3 linked regions of the Struthio camelus genome follow. The protein of the gene in region 3 purifies or fractionates together with the protein of the main gene of each other region. This does not show direct contact. Links are inferred from orthologs where the notes say so. Each region holds a gene or a part of one and is shown on either strand. Other genes may lie near its edges.

Region 1 (9,265 bases), on a different chromosome or scaffold from region 3:
GCCCAGCAAATACTTTCTGGAAGCCTGAAGAGTAACTTACCGCTATACTGACTTTCCCCAAGATCTCCTCAGGAATTCTCTTGGCTTCTTTCAACACTTGATCCAGAGAGCCGCCATCCTGAAACGACAAACAGAGAAATTATCAACACACCAAAGCCCAGCAGAAAAGCAGAGTAACTGGCCATGCAGTCTAGCATGCCTGCTGAGGTTAAGTGGTATATGAGCAGTATACAGCATCCCAGCCCAGCTGTCAGTAACAATTCGGCACCAAGAACCCTCCCATTAGGAGGGAAAAGATCTCTGATGATCTCTGTTAAAACTGGCTCTCACTGAAAACGATTTTAAAGCTGTCGTCTATCATCTCTACTTCTTGCTGTTAGCTTTTAGCATGCTTTCCCTTAGAGGTCAATGCAAAGATGATGCTGTCAGCACTGATCCAGAGGAGAAACAACACTCTTCCCTGCCAGAGACAACAGAAAACGCACACTGCACTTCGGGGAGTTCTGTAGAGTGGCAGGTTTACAACATTTCCGCTTGGCCGGCCCCCAAACCTCTGCTTCTGCTTTCCAGAAAGTCAACTTCTCTGTCATTTAGATGCCCAAGGAGGACCACGCAGCTTCTAGCAGGAGCTGAACGGCCTTGTTGCCCTCAAAGCAGCCAGAGCAAGAAGCCGTTGCAGCTGCCAGCTGAGAGCGCTAGCAGGCTTACCCACTTTGCCTGCAGTTTCAGTCTCGCTGAGATGCGACTCAGAACATGGAACCGGAGAGCAGCAGTTTGCAGGGGAGGAACACGGACTCACCATGTGCTCCATGCAGATGGAAATCTCCCCATCGCTGTAGAAGGCTCCATAGAAACCCACAATGTATGGGGAATTACACTCGTGCAGCACCTGCAGCTCCCGGATAATCTGATTCCTGATGGCTGGCTTGATTTCTAAATGAATCAGCTGCCAAGAAAGAAAAAAATAACATCAAAGTATAGTGCCTGGAAAAAAACTACGGGGCCATGAGAGCCTGTCCTCAGTGCCGGAAAGAAATTAAAAAGCACTCGAGGAAGCTCTGCTTTGACCTAGACTTTATTGTTTGCATGCTAAACATTAAGGATAAAGGGGACAACCAGCGTGCTGCGCAGCCTGTTAGCAACTGAAGCAACTGCAGGCCCAAGTAACATGCCGAGATCACACTGGCTACAGAGCAGAAAGATAACTCAGAAGTTGGGTGCAGATCTGACTCAGCACACAACATTTTCACAAGCTCTGTAGGTGTTGTAAGAATATAAGAGGTGTTCTGATATCAAAGAAACCACAGAAAGTAAAAAAACATGAAGATTATGCACTTGAAAGACCAACTGCATTATTCCTTGGGCTCCACGTAGAGTCAGCTAACAAAGTTGTGGGTAGGGAAGCCATAGAGGCTGGAAAACGTGACGCCAGGTTACAAAAGCAGCTACTGTTACTGTAAGCTCTAAGACCTCCCTCACCAGGGACTTCTGGCCTTCCTACAGGGCCACAAAGGCTGGTCTCTGCAGGGACGCACAGCACTGTGCTGCCTAACCTTGCCTTGAGCTTCAGTTTCTGAGCTGCAGTAATTTCAAAATCAGTTACATGTAATGCTCCCAAATCAAATGCCACAATGGAAAACCTCAGAGATGTCAGCTCCAAGGGAAGCTGCCTAAAGAAACATATTCGCTCTTGAGAACCACTGAACCTTGCCGTTACCTTGTAAACTGCTCCCACAGCAGCGAGAACAGAGACTTTCAAGGAAGTTGTCCCGTGGATTAGCGGTTGCGCTATTCCCTCACTGAGCATTGCCTTTTCTAACAGGCAGATAAAATATCTTCTCCTTTTCTATCACAGAGCATCACAACAAGAGATGACTCCCATAAACCCATGCTCGAGAGGCTCTGTTGTCATGACAGACTTGCAAGGCTGCTTGGAACTGTCTTGGGGATCAATTAAACGGAAGCTGGGGGGTGAGCCAGGCACACAAGACTTTCTCTTGTCTGTGCAGGAGCAGCTCAAAGCTCGGGCTTGCAGTAGGGGAGCTGCTGTGCTCACAGGGAATCCTTCTCTCTATAATTTCCACCAGGAATTTTCAGTCCTCATTAGCTACAACCTAAGACTCTCTGTTGCCTGTTTTCCCCATCCAGTTTAGCAGACGGAAAAAGAATAAACTCGCGTTTCCACAAAACACGTTGCAAAACCCCAGGGATCTGTTGCGGAGCGCGCTGCCCCTCCCCGGAGGGCCCACTGGTGAAGGGCGAAACGGCTGGATTGCTAAGAGACAAGGGGAGAGAGGCTACACACAAAACCCAGCTCAGGGCAGCAGGGACAGTCGTTACCAACCCAGGCGACGAGGTCTGTATGCAAATTTGTGGGGCTGAGCAGAGCCCATCTCACAAACACTACCTGGCTGCCAGGTTTGGCAAGAAGGTGCAGGAAACCAAATTCCCCTCCCTCTGTTACGCGCAACAGCCACCCCGGCTGACATCTCAAGGAGCCGCATCTATTCCCGGGGCAGGCAGGAGAGAATCGCCAGAGCAGACAACCAAGACGGATACCACTCAGTTCAGCGTGAGAACGGGTTAACGCAGAGAGATCCTGACCGAATCCGGCTTTCCTGGGGCTGGGATGAGCGCAATATGCCATTGCGCCTTACCTCTCCAGCAGGCCCCGGGCACCTGCCCCTCCGTTACCTTTCGTGCCATAATGAGTCCTGAGGGTTTGTGCTGCACTTTGGTGACCACGCCGCCGTTGCCGGCTCCCAGTTCAGAGATCCTCTCAAAGTCATCGTCCTTCAGCTCCCCGACCTTGGCTTTCTGGGTGAGAAAAGCTTCCAGGCGCTTCTTTTGCTGCTCATCCAGTTCCAATTCCTCGAGCTTCTTCTGAAGGTCTACTAGGTTCGCCCTGGAGAAAGACAAGGAGGAGAACGGAGAAACGGTCAGGAGTCTGCGGGGCCATCGCCAGAGAAAGGGGGCTTGTCCGGTCCTTTGCTCTAGCGGCAGAGGCAAAACGAAAGCACGGCTCACGACGGGTTAGAGAGGAGGGCCCAACCAGAGGGAAGAGACTCCCAAAACCGTTTAGTGGAAAACGTTTGACACTGCAGGGAAGGAGAGGGAAATAACAGAAAAGCCCCATCTTACGCGTAATCAGACCAAAACCGTGATATAGCAGAGAGACTAAAACAAAGCTCAGGAGAGACGCAAGGCTTGGCTACGCTGCTGATGGGGACGTGCGGGCAGCAGAGACCAGTGATGCAATGTCTGCCCAACACTTGCATCTCTTCCAGAGAGGTTTTTTAATACAGTCAGCTGTCTCAGGAAACCCCAAGGAGCGGGGAAAATCGTTCGGCCCTTAAAGGGGCAGCAGAGCTCAGCCCGGGGAGAGCGACAGCACCAGCGAGCAACCTCTCGCTCCGCAAGCGCAGGGAGCCGAGCTTGGGTTTCACGGCGAAACACGAGAAGGCCCTTTCCAGGCGTCCAGCAAATCCCCCTGCTCCGTTACACCCCCGGCCGCCCCTCCGCTCGCCCGAGCACAAAGGGATGTCTGTGCTCCCCCAGCACCTGCTGCCCGGGGCGCCCGGCGCGGGCCTACGCGCCTCCTAACCCGGCTCCAGCCTCCTCCTCCGCCCCAGAGCGGCGGGGGGGACCCGAGCCAGCAGGCTCGGAGCCCCACGGGCGGCTCTGCCCCCCCCCCCCCAAGCTTTCACCGCCCGGCAGCCCCCGACCCCAGTGCCGCATCCTGCTCCCCCTGAGCCCTAGTCGCTCCCCTCCCTCCCCCAAAACTGCCCCCGGCCCCCAGCCTGGCTTCCCTGTCCCCTGCCCTCTAGGACTAGCCCCCCACCCCACCTCGCCTCAGCCCCCCAACGCCGGCCAGCGCTGCCGGGACACCCCCCCCCCCTCCGGCTTTGCCCAGCTGCCCCCTGGTCCCCAGCCACCCTGGGGGCCCGGCCCCCTCCCCACCTCCTGCCTCCCGCCGGCTCTCCCACCCCGTCCCCAGGCCGGGCCCATCCTGCCGCCCGGGGCCGCGGCGGTGGCAGCGCCGTGACGGCGCAGACCGGCGGCGGCCGCCGCCCCACTCACTCACTCGGCGGAGCCGTCGGGGCTGGGCCCCTCGGCGGGGCTGGGGGCGATGTTGAGGGCCGGCAGCACCGGCTTCCTCTTGGCGGGCATGGCCGCGCCGGGCCGTGCGGGGCCTAGCGGGGGCGCGGCCGCATGGCCGCGGGGGCGCGCCAACGAGCGCGCGCGGGAGGGGATGGGGGCGGGGCCGAGCCGCGGGGGCGGGGCCGAGCCGCGGGCGGCGGCGGGAGGGGCGGGGCGGCGGCGTCTCGCGAGAGCGCGGGGCGGGTCTCGCGGGAGCGCGCGCCGGCGGGAGCGCGCGCGGGGGGGGGAGGTGGAGGAGGGGAGGGAAAGGGCGAGGGCGGAGGGAGGAGATGGCGGCGCGGGGTGAGGGAAGGAGGACGGAGGAGAGGGAGGGACGGGGAGAAGGCGGCGAAGGCCCGGGCAGGGGGACGGAGGGGGCTCCGGGAGGGCGACGGCGGCGGGGACGGACAACCCCAGCCGAAGGGACAAAGGCTGCAGAGCCAGGCAGAAGGGGGCCGTCGGGCAGCGGGCGTCACAGGGAAGGAGCGGGCGTCAGGCGTCGGGTCCTTCCCAGGCCTGCCCCGCCGGCCGCCCCGGCCCCCTCGGTCGCTCTCGGCGGCCCCGCGCGCCCAGCAAAGGCCGAGGGTAACGGTCGAGGGCCTTAACGAAGCGGGGCGGTTAGCAGCCTCGGCCGCTGCGGGCCGGCCTCGCCCTCACGCCTCCCGCCGCCGAGGAGCCGGCCGGCCTCGCCCGGCCGCGGCCCCGGGAGGCCGAAGAGAGGCCGGCGCCGGGGCCGGGATGGCGGCGGCTCCAGGCCGAGCCGCGCGCCCTTTGCTCGGGCGCCAGGGGGTTCCCGTCTCCGGCAGCAGGGCAATAAACGCGCGCGGCGGGGCCGGGAGCGGCGGCGTCACCGCGGGGGCGGAGGGGTAAAACCGCGGCCTCGCGCCCGGCCCGGCTCCCGTCGCCGCCAGGCCCCCGTTTTCCGCCCGGCTCTCCCCCTCCTCGCTGAGGGCGAAGGCTCTCGGCGTGGTGCCCGGGCTTCCAGGGACCCGCTGTGACACCTCCATCCCGGGGACGGGCACGGGGACGAGCCGCCTGGCCCCTGCTCGAGGGTCCCGCCGCGGCCGAGCCGGGCCGGCGCTGGGTGCCCCACCGGATCGGGCCGCCGTGCCTGATCAGAGGGCGTCGCGCAGCGAGATAACGGCCGCGGGCAGCGGGCGGGTGCCAGGCGCACGGCCTTGTCCTCGCCGTCCCGCTTGCCACACCTCGGTCACACGCTTTCTTACTCACCGGGGCTCCCGGTTCGCCGCTGGGCTGCCACACGGGGAGCTGCAAGAGGCCAAACCCTTCCCTTCCCCGCGCCGTGGCCCAGCTGCACTGCCTGGCCCAGCTCAGGCCGTGGCTGGCTCTTCCCTCCTCAAAGGTGTTTCTCCCCATGGAGAGGGGTCTCGGGGTGGGGTTATACCTACCGACGGAGAGCAGGATCGGACCATGAGTCTCCAAAATGCTGGTCTGGCAAGGCAATGAGGGAGCTCTGTGGCACAAAGGAGCTCTGGTGGCATCTAGGTGGGGGTCTGGAGGCCAAGTGGACCCAGTCTGGGTAAGGAAGGAGGATGCCCAGGCCCGTGTAAATCTGTGTCATGATGTTAAATCCCCCAAGGGGGCTGTCCGAGCGCAGGTGCCTTTCCGGGACGTCAGGCCCGGGGTTTTTTCCATCCCACTGGAGTTTGGGGTCATGGCGTGGAGGGTGCTGTGGCTGACGTGCCTCCGGGCTGACGCCCTCACCACAGGGAGAGGGAAACGTGGGAAAGCAGCAGCCAACAAACTCCAACCCTTAGCAGGGAAACTGAGGCACGGAGGGCAGGGGCTAGCCCTCGTGGGAGCACCGGCCTGGGTGGCAGCACCCAGGCGTCCAGCCCAGCAGCTCTCACCCTGGTCCCCGGGACCAGAAGGGGTCAACATTTGTTGAGCACAAGATAAGTAGCAGAGTCCAAGTCAACATTTTCCCCGGATGTTGTTCTCAACACCTATATAACGCAATTAATGCTGATACGCTGATCTAAAAAAAGGGAAATTGGGCCCGAAATGGGTGAAAGTTCATTGGCAGCTGCGGCAGCCGGGACTTTGCCCCACCAGCCCTGGCCCCTCCTGCCCCCCCTTAGCGGAGGAGGACAAAAACATTTAGCTAATGAATTACGGAGCGGCGCAGGTCCTTCCTGGCAGCCCGGCCATCACTCAGCGCTGATCCCCAATCAGGGCCCGGGTGATTTTGCAATCCTTGATGCTATTTCTGTGTGGTTGGAGTTTAAACTTTGCCACTTGGGTCAGGGCACCGCAGAGGAGGAGGAGGCTGGCTTCGGTGTCCGGCCCGCTCCCTCTGCGTGCCAAGGGGGTTCGAAGGACGGGACGGACCCACAGACCCTGCTCCGCTAGAGCTGGGATCTAGCACAGGTAGGTCCTGGCTGCCAGCACTCACCGCTGGGCACTCGAGCCGCTCCGTCAGCCCCGGGGCCGATGGGGCTTGCTGGCAGGAGAGAGCGAGCGTGACGAGGAGCGATGAACCCCCGTCCTGGGGACGGCTGGGCAAATGTCATGTTCCCAAACTGGGCTTGAAGGGCTCTTTGGGTGGGTGGTCAATAGGTTGGGAGGGTCAGAGGGGTGGTGGATTGGGTGGTTGGGTGGTAGTTTGATAATCGATTGGGTGGCCGGTTGGTCATTCGATCAGTCAGTTGGGCAGTTGGTTGGTCGGTCAGTCGGTCAGTAGGTTGGTTGATTGGTCAGTCAGTTAGTCAATCAATTGGCTGGCTGGCTGATTGGCCATTTGGTCTGTTGGTTGGTCAGTTGATTGATTCGGCTGGTTGACTAGTTGGGTGGGGTTGGTCAACTAGTTGGCCAGTTGGTCAGCCAGCTGGTTGGTCACCTGGTCCGTTGGCCAGCTGGTTGGGTCTGGGGTATCAAACCGTCCCTGATAACTGGCGCGTTCCTGGTAGACCAGGGCTGAGTCCCCTTCTCGGGGCCGGCCAACAGTAGCTGCCCCTGCCCCCACCATGTTAACCACCCAAAATGATTAACCTGATCTTCCCGAGCACGTCGCGCGTGGCGGATGGGTCTGTTGGGGAAGCTGAGCAGCACCCAGGCCTGGGTGCCCCTCGTCCTCCTGTTCCAGGGGTGCCGGGGCAAGTGTGTGCCCGTGGGGAGGGTCAGCCCTGGCTTTGCAGTTCTCTTGGGGGAAAAAACATAGGGAGTGGGAGTTTCAGCCACTGGAAGGGGGCAGAGGGAGGGACCCAGCTTCAGCAGAGCTACCCCTGGGCCCCCAAGTCTGTGCATGCACATGTGTGCCCGGCCATATACGTGCTCTGCCTCCCACACGTGCACATGCGGAGACCTGGGCTTGCCTGGATGCGCTCGCACACTCACAAATACGTGGGTACGTCTGTCCAGATATGCCCACAAGCACGCAGCTGCATGGCCGTGCACCGGCACATGGTCACACGCTTGCAGGTATGCACACATGCACGTGGCCCCACACACACACGTGTCAGCATGGTCACAGCCACCTACCTACACATCTGCCTGCTCCTACGCACGTGTCCACATAGTCACAACTGTGCGCACGTGTGTAGAGACATGTCCCCACAGTCTCACACACGTGTCCCTTGCACCAGCCCTGTGCCCATCCCACAATTCGGGGTGTCCTCGGGCGCCCCAGCCCTGGGGTCATGCCGTTCAGGGGAGGTGGCTGGGCCCTGGGGAGGAGGGCAGAGGCCAGCGGTGACCATGGGGCAGGGGGGACCGGGGCCGGTGGCCTGACCCTGCCGCCTCCCCAGCCATGGCCTCCAGCGTGGGCGGCCTCAACAGCCTCGACCTGCTGGACTTCCTCTTCGACCGCGAGGACGGGATCCTCCGCGGCATGGAGCTGCGGATGCCCGCGGGCCCCTGGCAGCAGGACGCGGTGAGTCCCGGTGGGGCGGCCTGCCTCGCACGAGAGCCCGAACCCTGGACCTTGCCAGATGGGTGCCCCGTGGAGACGGGTGCCCCGTGGGGACAGGTGCACCACGGTGACGGGCGCCCCTGTCCCTGCAGCGTGCCCAGGACAGCAAGGACTTCATCAGCTCCATCCTGGGCTCCGGGGACTCAGCATCGGACTCTCCCGGCTGGTCGCCAGCTGCCAGTGACAGCGGGGTCTCCGAGGACCCCCCCTCCGACCAGCTCGACAGCCCCCTGGGGTGCTGCGACGGGGGGCTCGGCGAGGCCTCCTACCCCTACTCCGACCCCGGCCAGCCCCTGCTCCTCCTGGGGGTGCCTGGGGCCCCGCGCCCCGAGGTCTCCATCGACCTGGGTGAGCTGTGGGGAGAGACCGGGCTGGGCACTGGGGGAGCTGGGGGCACTTAGGGGTACTGGAGGGGACTGGACAGGCTGGGGAGAACTGGCAGGTCTGGGGGACTGGGAAGAACTGGGGAACCGGGAGGAACTGGGCAGACTGGGATTAATGGGGGAGGAGCTGGAGGAGCTGGCCAGGAGTCCTGCACTGGGGTCGGGGGGGACACAAGACACGGCACTGCTGACAGCACCCGCTCTTCTCTTGCCCAGACATGTGGCACCCGGGCTTCTTCCTGGAGGAGAGCCAGGACCCACCTGCGGCCCCCGCGCCAGCATCCTGCACCCTCACCGTCAAGGACCTGCTGCTCTCAGGCAGCTCTGACCCCGTGAGTCCCTGTCCCCTTGTCCCCACCCCTTACCTTCCCTGAACCTTGGTCCCATCTCCATCCCTGTCGCCTGTTCAACCATGATCCCATCCTCATCCCTGAACTATGGTTCCATCCCCATCCCTGTCCCCATCACTGTCCCTGCTTGGCCATGGTCCCATCTCCATCCCTGTCGCCTGTTCAACCATGATCCCATCCTCATCCCTGAACCATGGACCCAACCCCATCCCTGTCCCCATCTCTGTCCCTTCCTGAACCATGGTCCCATCCATATCCACATCCCTCTCCCTGTACCCTCCTGGACCATGGTCCCATCCCCAACCCCAACTTTGCTGTTACCTCTGGGGCCTTGGTCCCTTGGAGGAGGGGGGTCCCTCGGCCCCCATGGTCCCTCGGGGTGGGTGCGGGGTAACCCCGCACCCTGGGGACATCACCAGTCCATGGCCCTGCAGCAGCTGCCGGTGCCCAGCTCCCTGCTG
Region 2 (9,136 bases), on a different chromosome or scaffold from region 3:
GCTTTGGGGATTGGCGGAGGATGCTTGGAGGGGAGGATGCACCCCCGGGGCGCGACGGGGGCGCAGAGCCGCGGGAAACCCCGGACGGGCTGAGACCGGCTCAGCTCGTGTCCGCAGTGGGCAGGCGGGCTGCAGAACCCGGGCCGGCGGCGGCGGGGTTGCAGTCAGCCACCGGCTTCGCCGCAGCCCGATTTACCGGGAAAAAGCAGCGGCGGCGGAGGGAGGGGGGAGGATGCCCCTCGCTCGGTATTTTTAGCAGCAAATTGCCCGAAACGCCGGGTGGGTGCAAACACCGGCGGGGGAGGGGGGTAGGTATCCGGGGGGGGGGGCGCCCGCAGCCCCGCCGGCAGCGGCAGCGCCGCACACCCACTTCCCCGGCTGCTGAGTCAGGCTGTTCCCGGCGCCCGCCGCCGCTCGGTACATCGTGTCCCCGCGCCGGGGACGCCTGGCACCGCGCCCGCCTCGCCGCGGCCCCGGGGTCAGCGGCGGAGCCGCTTTCCTCCGCCAGAAGAGCGAACCGAGTTTTCTACCTTAAAAAAAAAAAAATAATCGCAGCCGCCCGGAGCCCCTTCGCTAAACCGGCCGTGCGCCGGGGCCGGCGGCGGGCTGGATGGGGCCCGCCGGCGATGCTGGCGCTCGTTTTCTTTCCTTTTTTTTTGTTTTTTATTTTTTTTTTCGTTGTTTATTTTGGAAATGCAACCCGAGCCCTAGCCCGACCCAGGCTCGTGTGGATGGGCGAGATCCCCCCGCTGCACATCCCCCGCCAGCAGCGCCGGCGGGAGCACCCGCCGAGCCCGGCCGGTCCCCGCGGCCCCGGAGGAGGTTGGTACAGTTTGTTACGTCCAGGCCGGAATGTACTTTGTGTTAAAAGTGGCCCGAGTCCAGCTCTCCAAAGCTGGACTTTATTTATACTCCGCGCTCCGGCCGCGCTGCATCCTGCTGTCACTTTCTCGGGTTTTTATCTCCGAGGGGGCGAGCTGCTGGCCGCTCCCGGCGCCCGCCGTGGGGCAGAGCCCTGCCCGGCCTGCCCTTCATCTCCCGTTCTTCTCCTTTCTTTCTGTCTTTTGGTTTTTTTTTTTTTTTTAATTTTTTTCTCAGCGGCGAGATAATCCAGGAAAATGTTTGCGTCCTTCCAGCCGGTGGAAGCGTCCCCGGCGGCAGCTGCCTGGAAGGAAGCGGAGGCCGGGCGCCGTCGGGCGATTTCGGGCCTGGGCGATGCTGCGGGTCCGGCAAAGCCTCCGCTTAAGGGTGCCGGGGGTTGGGGGGGGGGTGAGGCCGGGTGCCCTCCGGCTGCCAGATTTTGGCGAGGCTTTGGGAAGAGCCTGGCATCGGGGTCGCGACGGCGAAACCCGGGGGGGGGGATGTGAAAGGCTTTGGCGACCCCTCGTGCCGCCGCCGAAGCCCCGACGGGCCGGGGCCGCCCGGCCCCCGCGACCCCGCTAGCCCGGAGCGCCGGGCCGGCCGCCAAGCAAACAAAAGGAAAAGAAAAAAGAAAAAAAAAACCCCAAACAACCGATTTCCTTTGATCTCCCACGTGCTCGAGAGATTCACTGTGATGCGGCTTTCAGATTTGAAGCCAAACGGGAGGGACTTCTTTTCCCTCCTCTCTCTCTCGAGTGTTCAAGGCAGATTAACTCGGGTTATTTTTAGAAAAAGGACGAATTAAAAATATCCCCGATTCTGTATTTGCGCCCTCCGCTCTCGAGGTGCAGCCGGGGGGGGGCGCCCATCGCCGGGGGGGCGGGCGCCCATCGCCGTCGGGGAGGATCCCGCCGGGCTCGGCCGGCGTTTTGCGGGGTTTTGCGGGTTTTTTTTTTTTTTGCGGGTTTTTGCGGGGTTTCAGCGCGGGGCCCCCGCGCTTTTCGGGCAGGACGGAGGGGTCAGGGCGCCGGGCAGGACATGTGCGGCCAGCTGGATGGCCGGGGGGAACAGCCCGTCCCCCTGGCAGCGACAGCAAAGCCTTGGGAGATTATTTATGGTTTTTCTGGCTCCGGAGGAGCAGATTTCCTCCGAGCTTGTGTTACAGGCCCCGGGGGCCGGCGGCCGCCTGCGGGGCACATTCGGGACCCCCGAGCTGGCAGGGAGCCGGGGGGGGAGGATAAAGCATTTTGCAAACTTTCTCGGCCCCGGTTTCACCCTGGACGTGCCGGTGCGCAGCCCTGATTGTTTTGCAGAACATTTTTTTCCCCTGCGGCTCCTGGAGCACCCCGGGCTCGGGCTAGCATCCCCCGAGCGCTTATTGCCGCGGCATCCAAACGCCGCATGAATGAAAGGCTCCAGGGATAAAATACCCCTGGGATAAAATGCTCCGGGGATAAAATGCTCCAGGGATAAAATGCTCCTGGGATAAAATACCCCTGGGATAAAATGCTCCGGGGATAAAATGCTCCTGGGATAAAATGCTCCTGCACACCTGCAGCGATGCAAAGCACAGCCCCCCTCCCCGCCCGCCCCATCCCGTTTCTCCCTCGCGGGCACGTTTGCCCAGGGAGCGCTAGCGGCTGCAGCCCGCTCCGAGCCGGTTCGGCTCCCGTCCGGCCCCGGCCCCGGCCCCGGCCCCGCTCCGCGCCGCCCAAGACAAACGAGCGCCGCGAGGCTCCTGTTTTGCTCGAAATTCAAGCGAAATTCAAGCGAAATCCAAGCGCCGGAGCTGCGGGCTGAGGACAGCGCGATCTTACATAACGCCTGGGCGGCGATACCCAGGCACAATAGGGTGAAGCGAGGACAGAGCGGCTGCTTTCACCGTGAATTTCCTGCCTTTTGGAAGTTTGCGTCAGGCTCGCCGCTTTAATGTGTGTGTGTGTATATGTGTGTATTTTTTTATAATTGAATTTCCTTTTTAATGCGGCTGTGAAATTAGGAAGGGGGGTGGGGGACTGAGTTTGGAGCAGCGCCTCTGCCCCGGCTGCGAGGCGGGCGGCAGTAGCACGAGGACTCGAAAGGTCTCTTAAAAACACACAAAAATAACACTTGCCAAGTATTTTGCTTCCCCCCGCCCTTAAACAAACAAATCGACCGTTTTTGTGGTGCAGCGGCAACCAGCGTGGACCCCCCCCCCGACGGCCGCCGTCGGCCTGGGTGCGCTTTTCCCAGGCTTTGCCGTTACCCCCCCCCCCCCGGCACCAAAAGAAGCTGCCAGTTTGGGGAGGGCGCGTTTGGAAAGCCACAACGTTTATTTGGCAAGTGGAAATGTAAAGCCCTCCGAGGCCGGGCCGGAAATATTTCAAAGCAGCTCTCCAAATCGTGCGGCTGGGTCGCTGCCTCGTGTTCCTGAAAGGGCGAGATTCCCCCCCCCCAACCCCCCCCGGCGTTTCGGCTTTGTTGTAACGCATGACGCTGTCAGGAAGATAAATCTTCAACTTTTTTATTTTTTTTTTTTAAAGCGGGCTTTAATTTGAACTCCCTATTTCCAGTGAGTGCCGTCGGTGTCGAAATGACAGCTGGGGGGGGGGGAAACCAAAAATCGAATTCAGCATCAAAAAACAGGCGCGCAAGAAAGCATCGATAAAACGAGCCGTCCATTAAGCCCGTCCCCGGGCGGGTGTATTGGAGGAACGCGTGGGAAACGGGGAGCAGGACGGGAACGGGGCACACGAGCTCGAACGCCCGTCTAGGAAAACGCCCAGCGTGGCGTTTTCGCTCGGCGCGGTGGGCCAGCCCGGCGGCCTCCCAGCTCGGCCGCGGCGATGAGCTGAGGTCCGCAAGCAGCGGTAGGATACTTGTTTAAAATGCATTTTTATTTTGCCTAATCTCACATGTCGACGCCGCTCCTAACAAAAATCTTACCTGCTTTAAGCCGAGCGGTAACGTTTTTTTGCCTGTTCCAACAGTCGGCGTGTCCCCCAACAGAGTGCCTTTCCATCACTAGCTTTCAGACTTTAGCGCAAGTTTATTTTCCTGGTGGGCTGTGACCCATAATAACCCCCGGAGCGCTGCACGGCGCTGGGGTCCCCCGGGACATTGCACAGGGCTGCTTCATCCTCGGGCCGTTGCACGGGGCCTGGGACCCCGGGGGGCGCTTCAAGGGCCCGCAGCAGCCCCGGGGACACTGCAAGGGGCCACGGTGTCCCCGGGGTGCAGTGTGGGGCCGGGGTACCCCTGAAGGATTGCATGGGGTTGGTTGGTCCTGGGGACACTGGGTGGGGCCAAGATCTCCCGGGGGCCATTGCACGGGGCTGGAATTGCCCTGGAGCGCTGCACAGAGCTGACCCCCACCCTGGGGTGCTGCATGGGGTCGGGGTAACCCTAGAGTACTGATTGGCACCCCGGTGCCCCTGGGGGACATTGCACAAAGCCCTCGCCCCCCCTGGGCATTGCACGGAGCTGGATCCCCTGGAGCATTGGACGGACCCCCCCTGGGGCATTGCAAGGGACTGGACCCCCCCCCCCCGGGGGCATTGCATGGAGCTGGATCCCCCGGGGCATTGCAAGGGGCTGGATCCCCTGGGGCATTGCATGGACCCCCTCCCCCCCCGGCGCATTGCACGGAGCTGGATCCCCTGGAGCATTGGACGGACCCCCCCCGGGGCATTGCAAGGGACTGGACCCCCCCCCAGGGGCATTGCATGGAGCTGGATCCTCCTGGGCATTGCACAGACCCCCCTCCCGGGGCATTGCAAGGGGCTGAATCCCCCGGGGCATTGCACGGACCCCCCCCCCCCGGGCATTGCCCGCCCGGCGCTGGGGTCGCTCTGGCTTTGCCGCCGCTGCCCCAGCAAGTGCGCGGGGCGGGGCGGGGCGGGAGGGGGAGGACCGAGGCGTGGAGGGGGGGGGTGGGGAAAACCTCCTCATTTGCATAGCGCCGCCACCGAGCCAATGAGAAGGCGCTGCGGGCAACATCGGCCGAGACGGGCAGGCGGGGCGGCCAATGGAAGGCGGGAGAAGGGGCGGGGCGCAGCGGCCGGGGAGACTCGGGCCGGCGCGGGCGCGCGCGGTGCCACTCGGAGCCGGGCGACGCAACGGAGCGTGAGCGGCACCGGCGGGGCAGGTAGGGCCGGGCCGGGGGGGGGCGGGGGCTGTGTGGGCCCTACAGGGGGCTGGCGGTGCCCTGTGTGGGGCAGGGGGGGCATATGGGGCCGGGGGGGGGGCTTTGGGGGCCGGGGGTGCCCTGTACAGGTCTGTGTGAAGCTGGAGGGCCCTATATAGGGCTTGTGGGGGGCCCTATATGGGGCTGGTTGGTGGGCTGGATGGAGCTGGGGGGCACTGTATGGGTCTGTGTAGGGCTAGGAGGGGGGGCTCGTATGGGTCTGGGGGGATCCTCTATGGGTCTGTGTGGGGCTGGAGGGGGGCCCTCTATGGGTCTGTGTGGGGCTAGGAGGGGGGCCCTCTATGGGTCTGTGTGGGGCTAGGAGGGGGGGCTCGTATGGGTCTGTGTGGGGCTAGCAGAGGGAGCTTGTATGGGTCTAGGGGGGCCCTCTCTGGGTCTGTGTGGGTCTGGGGGGGGGTCTGCATGTGCCTGCAGCTCTGTGGGCCTGGGAGGTCCTGAATGGGGCTCTATGGGGCAGTGGGGGTAAGGGGGGTACATAGGAGGTTGGGGGGGGTCTGCAGGGGGTTAGGGAGGGTGCCAAGATCTGCACAGGGGGGCTCTCCGTGGGGCTGGGGGGGGTCTGACTGATCCCTTCCCTGAGGAGGGGGTTGGTGCCTCCGGCTGTTGCAGTGGTGGTGGTGGTGGGGGGACAGGGTGGGGGCCTCGGCCCCACAGCCCCCTCCCGGTGCCGGGACGGTACAGAAGTGGAGGAGGGCGACGGGACGGGACGGGGGACCGTGGGGCCTCGGCCAAGGCGAGGGGCAGGGTCGGCCCCGAGCCGCAGCCGCGGTTTGGGGCACCCGAGCCCAGGCGCGTCCCCCACTTGGCGTTGGGGGGCCCTTGGGGTGCCGGCCCCCAAGCCGCGCGCGCCCTGCTTTAGTTCGCCCTGCCCGAAGGGGCAGCGCCGGGGTGCTCGCGTCGGTGTTTCCTGGCTTTAGTGTGCTGTGTTTGTGATACCAGAGCCCCCCAAGGCCGCAGAAGCTGATGTCCTTGCCGTACTTTACTGCAAGCGCTTAGCCAAAAAGTTTAACTTTCTTCTTTGCTCTCTGCGAGAAATTTCACTTGTTTCCAGAATCGTGTGATGTCTTTATGCGAGTAGTGACCGCGAGTCATCTACTCTCGCTGCAGGCAGCCCGGTGTCTTTTGCCACCGGCTAGTTCTCTAAAACGTACCAAAACCTCTGCATCAAATAGGAGTCCATGTCCTTTAGTTTGTGACAATGGGGAACTACCCAAGGGAGGTTATTTTTTTCCCCCGGTTATAAAGGCACAGAGTTGTCATAAAATGGGGTTCCTCTGCCTCGTTACTAATGTTTTCTCTAATAACATCTGCCAAAAATATTGTATAGAATGTGAACATAAATATATAGTTTCACTTGGAGTAATTATAGCAGATGGCCCAAGGTTAATGTACTTATTTTTCTTTTTTTTCCCCCCTATACTCCTACTCTTTTCCCCTCCTCTTAGTAGACAGAATAGCTCTTTTGAAGCTACTATTTTCTAGTGTGCAAACGCATATTCAGATAAGCGTATTGTTGTCAAAAAAGAATATTTTACGTGATGAGCTAGAAGAGCTTTTGAAGGATAAATTCATCAGTCGTGCATTGCGGCTCTGCTTGGAGAGTTCCAGTTGAGGCTCTGGTGCTGCAGTCAAGTTTCTGTCTTCGCTGTGAAACTGTGCATGTTAAACAAACAGGGCTTTGCCACGGTCAGTTAATACTGCAGATGAGGCTGGTGAGCTGCTATTTTGTGGAATTTCCTTCCATCAGACAAGTGTATTGAATCTAAATATACGTCTAACCCCCCCCACCCCCGCCTCGAATCAGGATTTGATACTTTAGTATTTTAAAGGTAATGTTTGTTTAAACGATGGCTTTCCGTAATGAGTCGTTAAGCTGGATTCAGGACGTCACTGGGGACCAAATCTGTGCTAGAAACTGGGATTACAAGTAAAAAGTTGAAAGCACAAATTGTTCTTTCCTGCGAAATGTATTGGAGCCACATTGCTGCTTCTTCCTCATCCTGCCCCGTGAATGTACTTATGGGGAAGAAAGTTAATTAAATCTCCTAGAACTTTTATCCAGCTTTTATTGGCAATTTTCAGAGGTGGAATAGCTTTTGACCTAATTAAGGTATTTCTAATCAGAATATTAACCAAGGATTTGCTTTCAGTTTTGCCTGAAATTGCTGAACGTTGTCGTTTTGTGACCTGAAGTGCATAGATTTTATATTTGCAACTTAGTTTTATCCCGTTGGTACAACACAACTTGAGAGGATGTAAACGCCAGCGAGGCAGAAGAAACGCTTGCTGCAGTTTGTAAAGGGTTAACTAGGAGTAATGGGGTTGAGTGAAAATAACATTTCTGCGCTGCAGAAGAGTTTTACAGAGCAAAGATACTTTGCAGGGCTGAGGACTAGCATTGCAGCGTTATATAGGACATGATGAACGAGGACAGCAACATCTGAGAAGTTGGAGGCTGAAAGCAGAAGAAGGACGAAATGTTACAATAAAACTGCGTGTTTAGAGTAGTCGCAGGTAATCCTGTACTACGCAGCGTGCTTGCAAAAGAGTGGAGCCTTTCTGCAATGAGAGGAAAAGTGTTGCCGGTATGGAGGAAACTGGGGAGCAATCTGCCCTCCTTTCTGTTCCCAAATCCGGTTATTTTGGGGAAAGAGCTTAAACACCCCATATCATAATTATCTGTAAAATGAGGATCAAGATCCCATTCTCTGGGGTTCTCGTGACAGTAAATCGAACCACAAATTTTGCTTGGCTGGGCAAATTTGTAAATTCCCATTTACAAAAGGGGCAACTCCCATTTTTGGCTCTTCCCTCTTTGCAGTGCTGTAAAATACCTAATATCTTGTGCCTTGAGGCACTGTTGCTGCCGTGAGGAGGACGCGTGCCCCAAAGCAGATGGGAACGTGCACCCCGGGGCCCTTCGGCGGTAGGGGGACCAGGGAGAGGCGGGCGAAAAAGGATGACTGTGAAGGCGTGTGTTGTTCTCCTACCCTCTCCTACCTGGAGAGGAAAGGTGCAGGGCATCAGGAGGCAGCTGCTTGCGCAGGGATAATCAAGAAGTAGGGATTTTTAGGAGAATGACACCTACAGCAGAGTAGTATGAGAGGAAGGCCACGGGATGGGTGTTCTGGACAGGTTAAGCAAGCGGCGCTCGGGCTGGGGAAAATGTGATGATGGTGTGGGGAAAAAAGCAGATTTTGGTGGAATTGGTACAGAAGTTATCACTTCTGCTGAACCCCCCCCGGGGGGGAGCGGGAGGGTGGAATCACATGTGACCTCTTGTGGTTTTGGGCAGAAGGGGCGAAGAAGAGCAAGCAGCGAACGGGGACGAAAGGACGGGTGTGCAGGGGGAAGGTGACGTTTGAGGTCTCTGTAGCATGTTTGTGAGTGGGAGCCGGTGCCGGAGGGGGGGTCTGGGAAGCCCCTTGGGGGCTCCTACCTCAAACCCAGGAGCGGAGGAGACCTGGGAAGACGTGGGCTGCTAGTGATGCCCGTCACCCTGCCAGCCTTAACAAAGCGGAGGCATCTGCTGGGAACGGCTGGAAGTGGAGGCATTGCTTTTTCTAGGGAGACATGCATAAAAAGGAAAGTGATTTGGGGCAGGGGGGGAATACCACTGACTTTTCCCCAAAGTCTTTTGGATGTCGTCTAGTGCTGTCTGTGTACAGCAGCTTGTGAAATATATAGCAACTGTCTCCCCCCCCCCCCCCCCCCCCGGTCCAGCTTTTATTTGTGCGTGTGGTAGTTTTTTAAACTTAAGGATAGGGAATTCCAGCTTCCCAGGTCTGCACAGTGCATAGTTGAGTTATTTCAAGGTCCTTTCCCAGTGCTATTAGTACCTCACCCACTGAGATGAGCTAAAAAATAAGGACAGTTCCTGGGGGGGGGGGGGGGGGGGGGGGATCTTCTAAGCCAAAAGAAACTACATGGGGTGAGTAACAGCCGCCCGCAAGGAGATTTCTAGAAAGCCTGAATCAAACTGTATTGTTCAAGAACATCAGTACGTTGCTGTGTAATTAGGTGGGTTTTAATTACAGGCTTGCAAAAGACACTGTGTACAAGGCGGGATGAGAAGGAGAAAGTTTGCTG
Region 3 (9,773 bases):
GGCAAGAGGACGGGGGAATCCCGGGGAACCGGTGGCGGTACATCCCGCGGGAAACCGCGGGGAGGCTCTTTGGCGGCGGGGAATCAGCCGGGGCCGGCGGAGCGGAGCAGCAGCCTCCTCGCTCGTCCGGCCCTCGAAACAAACGGAAGGGCCCCCAGGTTTCGAGGGTGGGCGGCGGATGGCACGGGCGCCCGGGACGGGGGCCGCAGGGAGAGCGGCGCCGGCGGCGCGCGCTCTATGGGAGCCCGTCGCGCCGTGGACGACGTCTGCCGAAGAAACGAAGCAGCTGACGTTGCTGAGTAACGCCGCGCGCGTCCAGCCCCGTTACGAAAGCCAGACGCTGATAACGAAGGAAATGAATAATTCAAGCCGCCCGAGACTGCCCGTACAATAGTGAAACGAGGGTGTTTTCTCGTGGCGCTCGCGGCCTGTTCTCGCAGGCGGCGAGCGGCGGGCGCAGCGGCGACGGGCGAGCCGAGCCGCGCCGCACCGCGCCGGCGATGCTATCCGGCCGGCCGGCCATCTGTCCGTCCATCCTCGGTCAGCCAGCGAAGCGATGTCGCAGGGGGCTTGGGGGGACCGTGGCCGCTTTGCAGGCTGCTCTTGACGAGCGGGGGGGGGCTGCAGGCGATGGGGGCTGTCCCGAATCCTTGTGCGCCCGCCCCGGCGAGGCCTCGGCGCGGAGCGGCCCGCTGAGCTTGCTCGGCGGTTGGAGAGCGGCAGGGTCGGCGCGCGCCCTAAGCCTCGGCACGTCTTGCCCCGCGGCTGCTTCTCGGGGTCGTTTTTCAGCGCCCAGCACCCGTTTTGCTTGCGTTGTTTTTTTTTTTTGGGGGGGGGGGTTATCTCGGCTGTCTTTGCGCCGCGGACAGGCCGGGGGGATCGCCTCCTCGCTAGCGGCCAGATGCTGGGCTGGGGCTCCCGGCGCGCTGCCTCGTGCCTCCTCGCGGCCGTGGGCAGCGCGGGACCGTCCCGTCCTTGCCTCCCGCGTAAGCCGCCCGGGAGCGACGACCGTAGAAATGACTGTGCTGGTGGCTTAGATGTTTTAGGCAAAAAATAATCTGTTGTTGCAAACGCGCTGAGTACAAAGAGTGCCTTGCCCTGTTATCTCCGTTTTGGTTATTGAAAGACTTGATTAACCACAGAAGCCAGCAGGAGAGAAAATTTCCAGTGTGTCTTTTTTTTTTTTTCTCTCTCTCCTATTTCCCTGTGCTCCAGCTAATGACAGAAATTGCATTGCATTTCAAACGCAGGCGATATTTAAATATCTGCCTGTTACGGCCTTCAAAAAGTGCCTGCCGCAGCAGTCGACAGGACGCCGTTCTCTGCCGGCCTTTCCGGAGGGCCGTTCCTCGTTATCCCGGGGCTAAAGAGCAGCCGAGCGGGAGGTCGGCTTCCCCCCGCGGTGAGTCGGTTTGGGGCTATCGCAGGCCCGGGGACTGGGCTAGTTTGCACCCAAAAAGAAACCCGGCCCGGTCCTTTGCCCTGGGGGATGCAGTGCTGCCCCGTGAGCTGCGAGGGGGCGATCCCAGCCATCCACCCCTGCTAAAACACAGCTACAACGCACACAGGTATGGGATACACATACACATATACATATATACACACACGCACACACGCACGCACCTGCGCCCATGCAGATACGTGTGAAATTACGACCGACATCGAGAGCGCAGCCCGGCTGCAACGGGATGCTCAACCTCACGACAGCAAAGCAGGATTTCTTTCCCGAGACGAGCTCTGTGGCCGAGGGAGGTTTCTGCCCAGCGGTTTCCAAGCGGCTCGCTAGTCAGTCCCAGTCCGATCCAAACGCTTTGGCAACGAGGTAAACGCTCTAGACGAGCGTCTCCGGGCGATCGCGGGCGCGAACGGAAATGTCCTTCTTCCTGGGGCGCCGCGCGGCCCCGGGCGCTCTGCTCGGGGGCCGGGCAGGGGCGCAGCGGGCAACGTGGCCAGCGATTTCAAGCATATTCCCGTGACTTTTGCACTGCCGTTTGCCCGGCCGGGAAGGCAGCTGTGATCTGCTCTAGGCGCTCAAGGAAAGGTCTGCACCTCTCCCCAAGAAATCGCTCTGGTTGGAGCAGGTGCGCGTTTATTCTTCGCTTAAAACCCGCGAAAGGACGTGACGCCTCCGCTAACAGGAATAATAGCGCTGCGGGCTGGAGAGATGCAGCAGCATCTCCTTGCGAAGGACTGGTGGCAGCTTATGCTGCTGTATTCCTAAGCAATCCGAGCCAGATCTGGAGCTGTACCCAGCGAAATCGTGCTCACCCGCGACGGGCAGGACGACTCGGGGCGCTCTGTCCCTGCGTGAGCCAGGTCTGCCTCCATCCAGACCGGGCTCACGGCCAGGCCGGGCTGAATCCCGCACGTAACCATCCACCCCGCGTCGGCAAAGGGCCGAAGAGCTCGGTTTGGCCGCGCGGGAGGCTCCTTTCACTTGATTTCCATGGACGTGGCCTGGAGCTTAGCCCGTCCCGCTTAGGTGCATTTGGGTGCAATTGCGTTGCTTTAAGTGCATTGCGCTTTCTGCAGGGGCTTGTCTTTCTCTTCCGGCTGTGCCGTGCTGTCTTCGGGTGCGCGGCTCGCAAGGAGCCGGGAGGGACAAAGTGCTCCCGGAGGTCGAGTGCCCGAGTGGGGATTTACGCTCTTCCCTTTGAGCCATTGCCGAAAACATTGATCCTGTAGTGCAGCGCCAAAAATGACCAGTTGTGACCGAATTGACCAGGTGTTGGTGCTTCCAGTGGGATGTGCCCTCCAGGCAGGACAGCACACGCCTGGCTGGGAAGCTAAAATCCCAGTAATTTCTTTAAAACCCCTTTAATTCCCCCCCACAAACCTGCACACATGCACTTGGAAGAGGATCCTTGAGCGCAAGTGAACGGCTTGCGAGCGGGAGGGAGGGATGGAGACGGTCCGCGACGCTGGGGCGATGGGCCAAGCCTGTAAATTAAAACTCCTGCTTAAAGAAAGCGATGAGCAGCACGTTGCAAACCTTCTGGGCCGTATCCCCTGGGCAGCGCCCGCACAGCGTCCTGCAAAGGGGCAGCCAGCGCAGGGCAAAGCTGTCGCCTCGGGGAAGGCTGCGAGCGCGAGGAGCCGCGTGGCCGGGGCGCGCCGCCAGCCCGGCTGCCCCCGCGAGCACGTTTTGTCCCCGGCGCTCCTCTCCCGCGCCTGGACGAGGGTGGCTCTCGCCCTTCGCCCCTTCTGCGTGTATTTGGCGCAGAGGCAGTCCTGGGGTGTGCTGCCCATTTACGCACAGGCGATTGCGCTGTGCGCTTCTGCGTGTGCAGTAGGAGAGCCGCACCGGCGGGGGCTGCTGCAGAAGGCACTTTTAAGGCACATGGCTCTCTGCACGGCGGCGGGGACGTCGGCTCCGGTGTCCTCCGCCGCTCGCTCCCCAAACCGCGGCCGTGGGCTTTCCGGGCCGCTCGCGGCAGCCGGAGCGGCGGCTCTGAGGCAGGAGCTCGCGGGAGAGGAGGGGGAGTGAGCGTGGGGGAGGCACGCTGCAGCAAGCCTTGAAGACGACGTTTGGCATCTTTATTTTTATTTGGCTTTTTTGTTGTTGTTGCTTTTTTGCTCGGTTGCAGGCCAAATCCTGTTGCCACAGCAGGGTCTCTCCTTGGCATCCCTGTCCCCGTTGCAGCTTTTCCGTCTCCCCTGCTCGTGCCGCTCGGTGCAACCCTTGGTGTCGGGAAAGCGCAGCAGGATTTGGCCTGTCCCTTAGCAGCATCGGCTTCCCCAGGAGCAAACCGGGAGGGAGGCAAGGTGCGGGACAGGCACGCAAAACAAACCGGTGTGAAGGGGCGCGGGGAGAGCGAGCTCCCAAAGACGGGGACGTGGGGCCCGGCGCGGCGTGCGGCCTCTCCGCGTGGCTTTGCCCTGGGAGAGTGGCGGGAAGTTAAATGCGGCTCGAGCTCTCCCGGGCCCCGGTACCGTGCTTGGGGTACAGCGGCCTTGCCCACTGGCAAACGCAGGCCGCAGGTCCCCCAAAACACCCCAGGAGGCTTTGTGGGGCGGGAGGGCAGCGGGGGGCAACGGCGCCTTCCAAGGGGGCCGAGCGTGTGCCCTGCAGTGACGTGCATGCAGCCCGGCCGGTTCCCTCTGCAAAGGGCTCCCTCCTGCAGCCCCACTGCAGCCTCCTTAGGCCTTTGGGGGTGCATCTTCCCTGTGCCCCCCTAGCTGTCCCCCCTTCCCTTGCCCTGCAGCGACATGCACGCAGCCTGGCCTGGCTGCCTCTGCCCTGGGGGCTGCAGCAGGGCCCCTGTTGCAGCATGGTCCCTCGTTGCAGCACAGCCTCCCGTTGCACCATGGTCCCCCCTTGCAGCAGGGCCCCCAGTTGTAGCAGGGCCCCCATTTGTAGCAGCATCCCCTGTTGCAGCACAGTCTCCCCTTACAGCAGGGCCCTCAGTTGTAGCAGACCCCTCGTTGCAGCAGGACCCCATTGCAGCAGGGCTCCCATTGCAGCACAGTCTCCAGTTGCAGCAGGGCCCCCGTTACAGCAGGCCTCCCCGTTGCAGCAGGGTCCCCCGTTGCAGCAGGGTCCCCCATTGCAGCAGCCCCCCATTGCAGCAGCCCCCCGTTGCAGCAGGCCCCCCTGTTGCAGCAGGCCCCCCTGTTGCAGCACAGTCTCCAGTTGCAGCAGGCCCCCCTTTGCAGCAGGGTCCCCTCGTTGCAGCATCCCCCCCCCCCCGTTGCAGCAGGGCCCCACTGCAGCCCCCCCCCGAGCCACCGGTGCCCCTCAGCCACTGCAGCCTCGCAGCGATGCTCACCATCCCCCTCCCCCGGCCGGGCACCCCCGCGGCCGCCGGTGCGCAACGGAGGGGAGGAGGCGGCGGGGGCGGGGGATGCCGGTGCGCGGGGAGGGGGGTGGGACCGGGATGCCGGTGCGCGGAGCGCGGGGGGGGGGGGGGCGCGCAGCGAGGGGGGGGGCGCGCAGCGAGCGCGGCCCCGGCGGTGCCTGAGCGCGCCGCCCCCGCCCCCGCCCCGCCGCGCCCGGGGGGAGGCGGCCGCGGCGCCGCGCTGACGGCTCGGTGGGCAGCGCGCCGGGCCGGGCCGGGCCGGGCCGCGCCGCGCCGCGCCGCGCCGCGCCCCGCGGGGATGCTGCGGGCGGCGGCGGCGGCGGCGGCGGCGGCGCGGGGCTGAGGCGGCGCGGGGGCGCGCAGCCCGCATCCGGGCGGCGGCGGCGGCCGCGGGGGGGGTGGGGGGGGGGCGGCGCGGCCGCGGCGAGCGATGGATGAGGAAAACATGACGAAAAGCGAGGAGCAGCAGCTGAGTTTGCAGAAAGCCCTGCAGCAGTGCGAGCTCGTCCAGAACATGATCGACATCAGCATCTCCAACCTGGAGGGGCTCCGCACCAAGTGCGCCGCCTCCAACGACCTCACGCAGAAGGAGATCCGCACCCTGGAGGTAGGGGCCCGCAGCCCCGGGCCCGCCGGGGCTCCCCGGCCGGCTCCCTCGCGGCGCTGCAGTGCGCCCCAGTGAGCCTGCGCGCTCTGCAGGTGGCCCCCGAGCTGGGTCTGGCACACGCTGAATGTTGCTGTCTGCCAGGAGGACCGGGAGCATCCCCGCGGCCGGCCTCCAGCCTTGCTGGCAGGCTGCAGCCCCTCGGCCGGCAGCATCCCCTCGGCCGGCAGCATCCCCTCGGCCAGGCTGCAGCCCCTCGGCCGGCAGCATCCCCTCGGCCGGCAGCATCCCCTCGGCCGGCAGCATCCCCTCGGCCGGCTGCAGCCCCTCGGCCGGCAGCATCCCCTCGGCCGGCAGCATCCCCTCGGCCAGGCTGCAGCCCCTCGGCCGGCAGCATCCCCCCGGCCGGCAGCATCCCCTCGGCCAGGCTGCAGCCCCTCGGCCGGCAGCATCCCCCCGGCCGGCAGCATCCCCTCGGCCGGCTGCAGCCCCTCGGCCGGCTGCAGCCCCTCGGCCAGGCTGAATCCCCTCGGCCGGCTGCATCCCCTCAGCCGGCAGCATCCCCTCGGCCAGGCTGAATCCCCTCGGCCGGCAGCATCCCCTGGGCCAGGCTGCTTCCCCTCGGCCGGCAGCATCCCCTCGGCCGGCAGCATCCCCTCGGCCAGGCTGAATCCCCTCGGCTGGCAGCATCCCCTCGGCCAGGCTGCAGCCCCTCGGCCGGCAGCATCCCCTCGGCCGGCAGCATCCTCTCGGCCAGGCTGCAGCCCCTCGGCCCAACTCCTTCCCTTCCTCCGAGCTGCATCCCCGTGGCCGGGCTGCGTGCCCCTCGGCCTGGAGCATCCCCGTGATCAGGCTCCAGCTTCTCTGGCAGGCTGCATCCGCTTGGCCGGGAGCATCCCCACAGCTGGGCTGCATCCCTGCAGCCAGGCTCCAACCTCTCCAGTAGGCTGCATCCCCTCGGCCAGGAGCATCCCCTCAGCCGGGAGCATCCCCTGGGCCGGGCTGCGTCCCCTCAGCCAGGAGCATCCCCTGGGCCAGGCTGCATCCCCTGGGCCAGGAGCATCCCCTCAGCCAGGAGCATCCCCTCAGCCAGGAGCTTCCCTCAGCCAGGAGCATCCCCTGGGCCGGGCTGCAACCCCTGGGCCAGAAGCATCCCCTGGGCCAGGCGGCATCCCCTCAGCCGGGAGCATCCCCTGGGCCGGGCTGCACCCCCTCAGCCGGGAGCATCCCCTGGGCCGGGCTGCACCCCCTCAGCCGGGAGCATCCCCTGGGCCGGGCTGCACCCCCTCAGCCGGGAGCATCCCCTGGGCCGGGCTGCACCCCCTCAGCCGGGAGCATCCCCTGGGCCGGGCTGCACCCCCTCAGCCGGGAGCATCCCCTGGGCCGGGCTGCACCCCCTCAGCCGGGAGCATCCCCTGGGCCGGGCTGCACCCCCTCAGCCAGGAGCATCCCCTTGGCCAGGAGCATCCCCTGGGCCGGGCTGCACCCCCTCAGCCAGGAGCATCCCCTGGGCCGGGCTGCATCCCCTCGGCCAGGCTGCTTCCCTTCCGCTGAGCTGCATCCCCCGGGCCGGGCTGCCTCCCGCCACCCGTGCTGCATCCCTTCCACCAGGCTCCATCCCCTTGGCCAGGCTCTGGCCCCTGGCTGAGGGCAGGCCGGCATCCTCATGGTGCAGCGCCTCTCCCGACCCTCGCAGCCTGCCGCGGCGCTGGGCAGAGCCCCTGCGGGAAGGGGAGGCTTCGCCGAGCCGCGGCCTCCAGCTGGGCCTCGGGGCTGCCGGCTGCTCGGGGGGCGAGGGCTGCGGGGCTGCTGCCGGGAGCCGCCGAGGGCTGCGGGCAGGAGCCGCGGCCGGGAAAAATCACGCATGCCTCTGCGGCGGCGGCTCCTTTTAATGCCGGGGAGGTGGGCATGGGGATTTTAAGAGGGTTTCTGAGGCCTGAAGCCCTCCGGCCTGGCAGCACGTGGGGCGCAGACCCGGCCAGCCCCTCGCTGGGGCCTGGTGCGCGGGAATCCCATTTATTTCCTATATCGGTAGAGTTTTATAGCTGGCTGAAACGTGCATAAGTAAAAGCTGCCAAGTGTCAGCGCTGGGTGCCAGAAGGGGCGGCTGGACTGGGCTGTCATGTCCCAGTGTGCAGGCGTTTGCCCTGGAGCGTGCTGAGACCCCCGCAAGAGGGATTTGGCATTAAATGGGGGGGGGGGGAGGCAGCAGGCCTGGCCGGGCACGGGGATGCCGGGCTGCGGGAATCGGGACCGCGCCGGTGGCTGGGCTCCTGCAACCTCCCCTCCGTGGGGCAGTTTTGCACCCTGGGCCGCTGTCGGACTGGTCCATGCTGGCGCCTGCAGCCCATCCTCGGCTTGCAGGGGCGCAAGCAGGGCAGCCGGGGCCGCCGGTTGCTGTGCACCGATCCTGCTCCCGTCGCTGCCTCTGCGAGCCGGGCAGCGGGGCTCTCACGTGTTTTTGCCCCTCTCCTGCCTAACGCCAGGGGTAAACGGGAGGCATCGGACGGAGCAGGCGGAGAAACCCGGGGCAGGAGCGTGGTGCGGCGCCCCGTGCTCCGCGGTCTGTCCCACGCCAAGTCTCGGGGACGGCGGGGACGACGGGGACGAAGCAGGGCAAGGGGGCTGCGAGCTCAGCCCGGGGGGCGAGTGGCTCGACAGCAATTTTGGGGTAACTGGGAGACTCCAGGAGAGCGAAGGGGGGCTCGGAGGTGCCGCGGAGCTGCTGGTTGCTGCTGCTGCCTCCACCCGCGCCCAAGTGCCCGCGGGGACGAGGAAGGCAGGGGGGAACAGGCCGGCTCCAGGCAGCACCTGGACCGTCGCGGCTCTGCAGCAGGAAGTTCACGCCGCGCGCGGTGACGGCTGCACGAGTACGCGGGTGCGCCCTTCAACGGGGACGCTCAGAGCAGGGGGGCGGCCGGCGGCGCGGGTGAGATGCTGCTCCGGGTCGTTGGGCGCCGGGCAGCGCAGAGCGGTCCCCGGGGTGCCGGACCGCGCCGCGGCCCCGTCCCCGGCTGCACCCGCCACCACGGCTCGCGTTCGCCGTGTGTCGCTCCCGGCTGGCGCGAGGCTCGCGGGATGGGGCCGGCCGACCGGACTTCCAGCGCCACGTGGCTGCTCGGCTTTTCCTGCTGAGCGCGTTTTCCTAAGGCGGTTTGCAGCGACGAGGCCAAAAAGCAGGTATCTAGGGGCATTTTTCTGGTGCCGGGCCCAACGGCGTAGAGCCGGCCCGACTCCACGGTGACGGTGGTGACCTGGGGTCCCACCGGAGCCAGCCGCCACTGCTGCCGCCCGGCCCCGCGGTTCTTCGCGTCCCGCCTGGCTGCAGCAGCACCGGGGCGGGCGGCGGGGGGCTCCGAGGTCGCGCGGGGCGGCCGGCGAGGCGGAGGAGGCAGCAGCCTTCGCGGCGGGCGGCACGAGCCGCCTGGCTGGCGGGACCCCCCGGCGGCCGCTGCGCGCTCCCCCAGGCAGTGCCGGGGCCGCGTCGTGACATCGGGTCTCAGCCCGGCCGCGGCGGGGAGCCATCCAACGTTGCCTTTTTTTGCTTAATCCTGATGTGCAAAAGCCCGATTTTGGGGGATTAATAGCAGTGCCTCGATTCTTCTTCCCTTTTTTTTTTTTTTTAAAACCGTCTTCGGGTCCACGCAAGTCGCCGCGTCTCACGTGCTGCGGCCGCGCAGGGAGCCGCTAACGCCGTGCCGTGCCGAAGCTCCTCCCCGGGGGGCTTCTGGGCAGGGACCGGGGCCCGCTTCGCTGCGCGGCCGCGGGGAAAGGAGGCTCCGCGGTCCTGCTGGCGGCCGTGCCGAGCGGCGGCGAGGCGGCCGCCGGGGCCGCAGCCCGGCCTGCCGCCGTCCTGCCGGGCAGCGACGCGGGGGAAGCCGGACTTGGGCCGATCTGTCTCCTGAAGGACGGGAGCAAACGGCCGGGACGGAGCATCTGCAGAGCCGCTCTGACCCACGGCGGCGAGCGGTCCGGCGACAACGCCCCTGGTCCCGCCTGCCGGCGTCCCTGCAGCGTCGCCGCTCGGCCCGGGTGCAAGAGCGGCAGCGAGTTGGAGCCGGGCCGTGAGGTCTGGAGCCGGCTGGAGAGACCCCCGGGGAGCGCTTAGCGGCCCTCGAAATACACGGCGCGGGGAGCCAGGGTCGGCGCGGCAGCCCAGAGCCGCCTCGGAGGCGCCCTGGCGGGCAGAGCGCTCCGAAAGCGCCACCTCGGCGAGCTCGGCCGCCGCGGCCGCGCGGAGCCCGGCCGGGGAAGGCGGGCGGCTCGCGTCCTGAAGGGTTGACGCGGTTCTCGGGATAAGCGCGAAGGCCGCGAAGCGTCTACGCAGCGAGTCTCCTCTGGCTCGCGGGAGGGATGCGGGGCCCAGGCGT

The links.
Region 1: the proteins of KSR2 (region 3) and MAP2K2 purify together in Homo sapiens (affinity purification with mass spectrometry; 3 studies listed by BioGRID and IntAct, with this or other methods). This does not show direct contact. The link is inferred for Struthio camelus from reciprocal best matches to the Homo sapiens genes KSR2 and MAP2K2.
Region 2: the proteins of KSR2 (region 3) and FKBP5 purify together in Homo sapiens (affinity purification with mass spectrometry; 3 studies listed by BioGRID and IntAct, with this or other methods). This does not show direct contact. The link is inferred for Struthio camelus from reciprocal best matches to the Homo sapiens genes KSR2 and FKBP5.

The regions. Positions count from the first base shown.
Region 1 is NC_090967.1:4,357,789-4,367,053, forward strand, and holds the start of MAP2K2 (dual specificity mitogen-activated protein kinase kinase 2), read right to left. Parts: upstream 4,274-9,265; 5' UTR 4,171-4,273; coding exon 4,085-4,170; intron 2,906-4,084; coding exon 2,695-2,905; intron 947-2,694; coding exon 800-946; intron 119-799; coding exon 41-118; intron 1-40. Other genes in the region: CREB3L3 (cyclic AMP-responsive element-binding protein 3-like protein 3), read left to right, coding at 7,910-8,032, 8,164-8,419, 8,671-8,786, 9,239-9,265. UniProt on the Homo sapiens protein: Catalyzes the concomitant phosphorylation of a threonine and a tyrosine residue in a Thr-Glu-Tyr sequence located in MAP kinases. Activates the ERK1 and ERK2 MAP kinases.
Region 2 is NC_090965.1:5,057,547-5,066,682, forward strand, and holds the start of FKBP5 (peptidyl-prolyl cis-trans isomerase FKBP5), read left to right. Parts: upstream 1-4,877; 5' UTR 4,878-4,987; intron 4,988-9,136. UniProt on the Homo sapiens protein: Immunophilin protein with PPIase and co-chaperone activities. Component of unligated steroid receptors heterocomplexes through interaction with heat-shock protein 90 (HSP90).
Region 3 is NC_090958.1:5,311,848-5,321,620, forward strand, and holds the start of KSR2 (kinase suppressor of Ras 2), read left to right. Parts: upstream 1-5,213; 5' UTR 5,214-5,229; coding exon 5,230-5,406; intron 5,407-9,773. UniProt on the Homo sapiens protein: Location-regulated scaffold connecting MEK to RAF. Has very low protein kinase activity and can phosphorylate MAP2K1 at several Ser and Thr residues with very low efficiency (in vitro).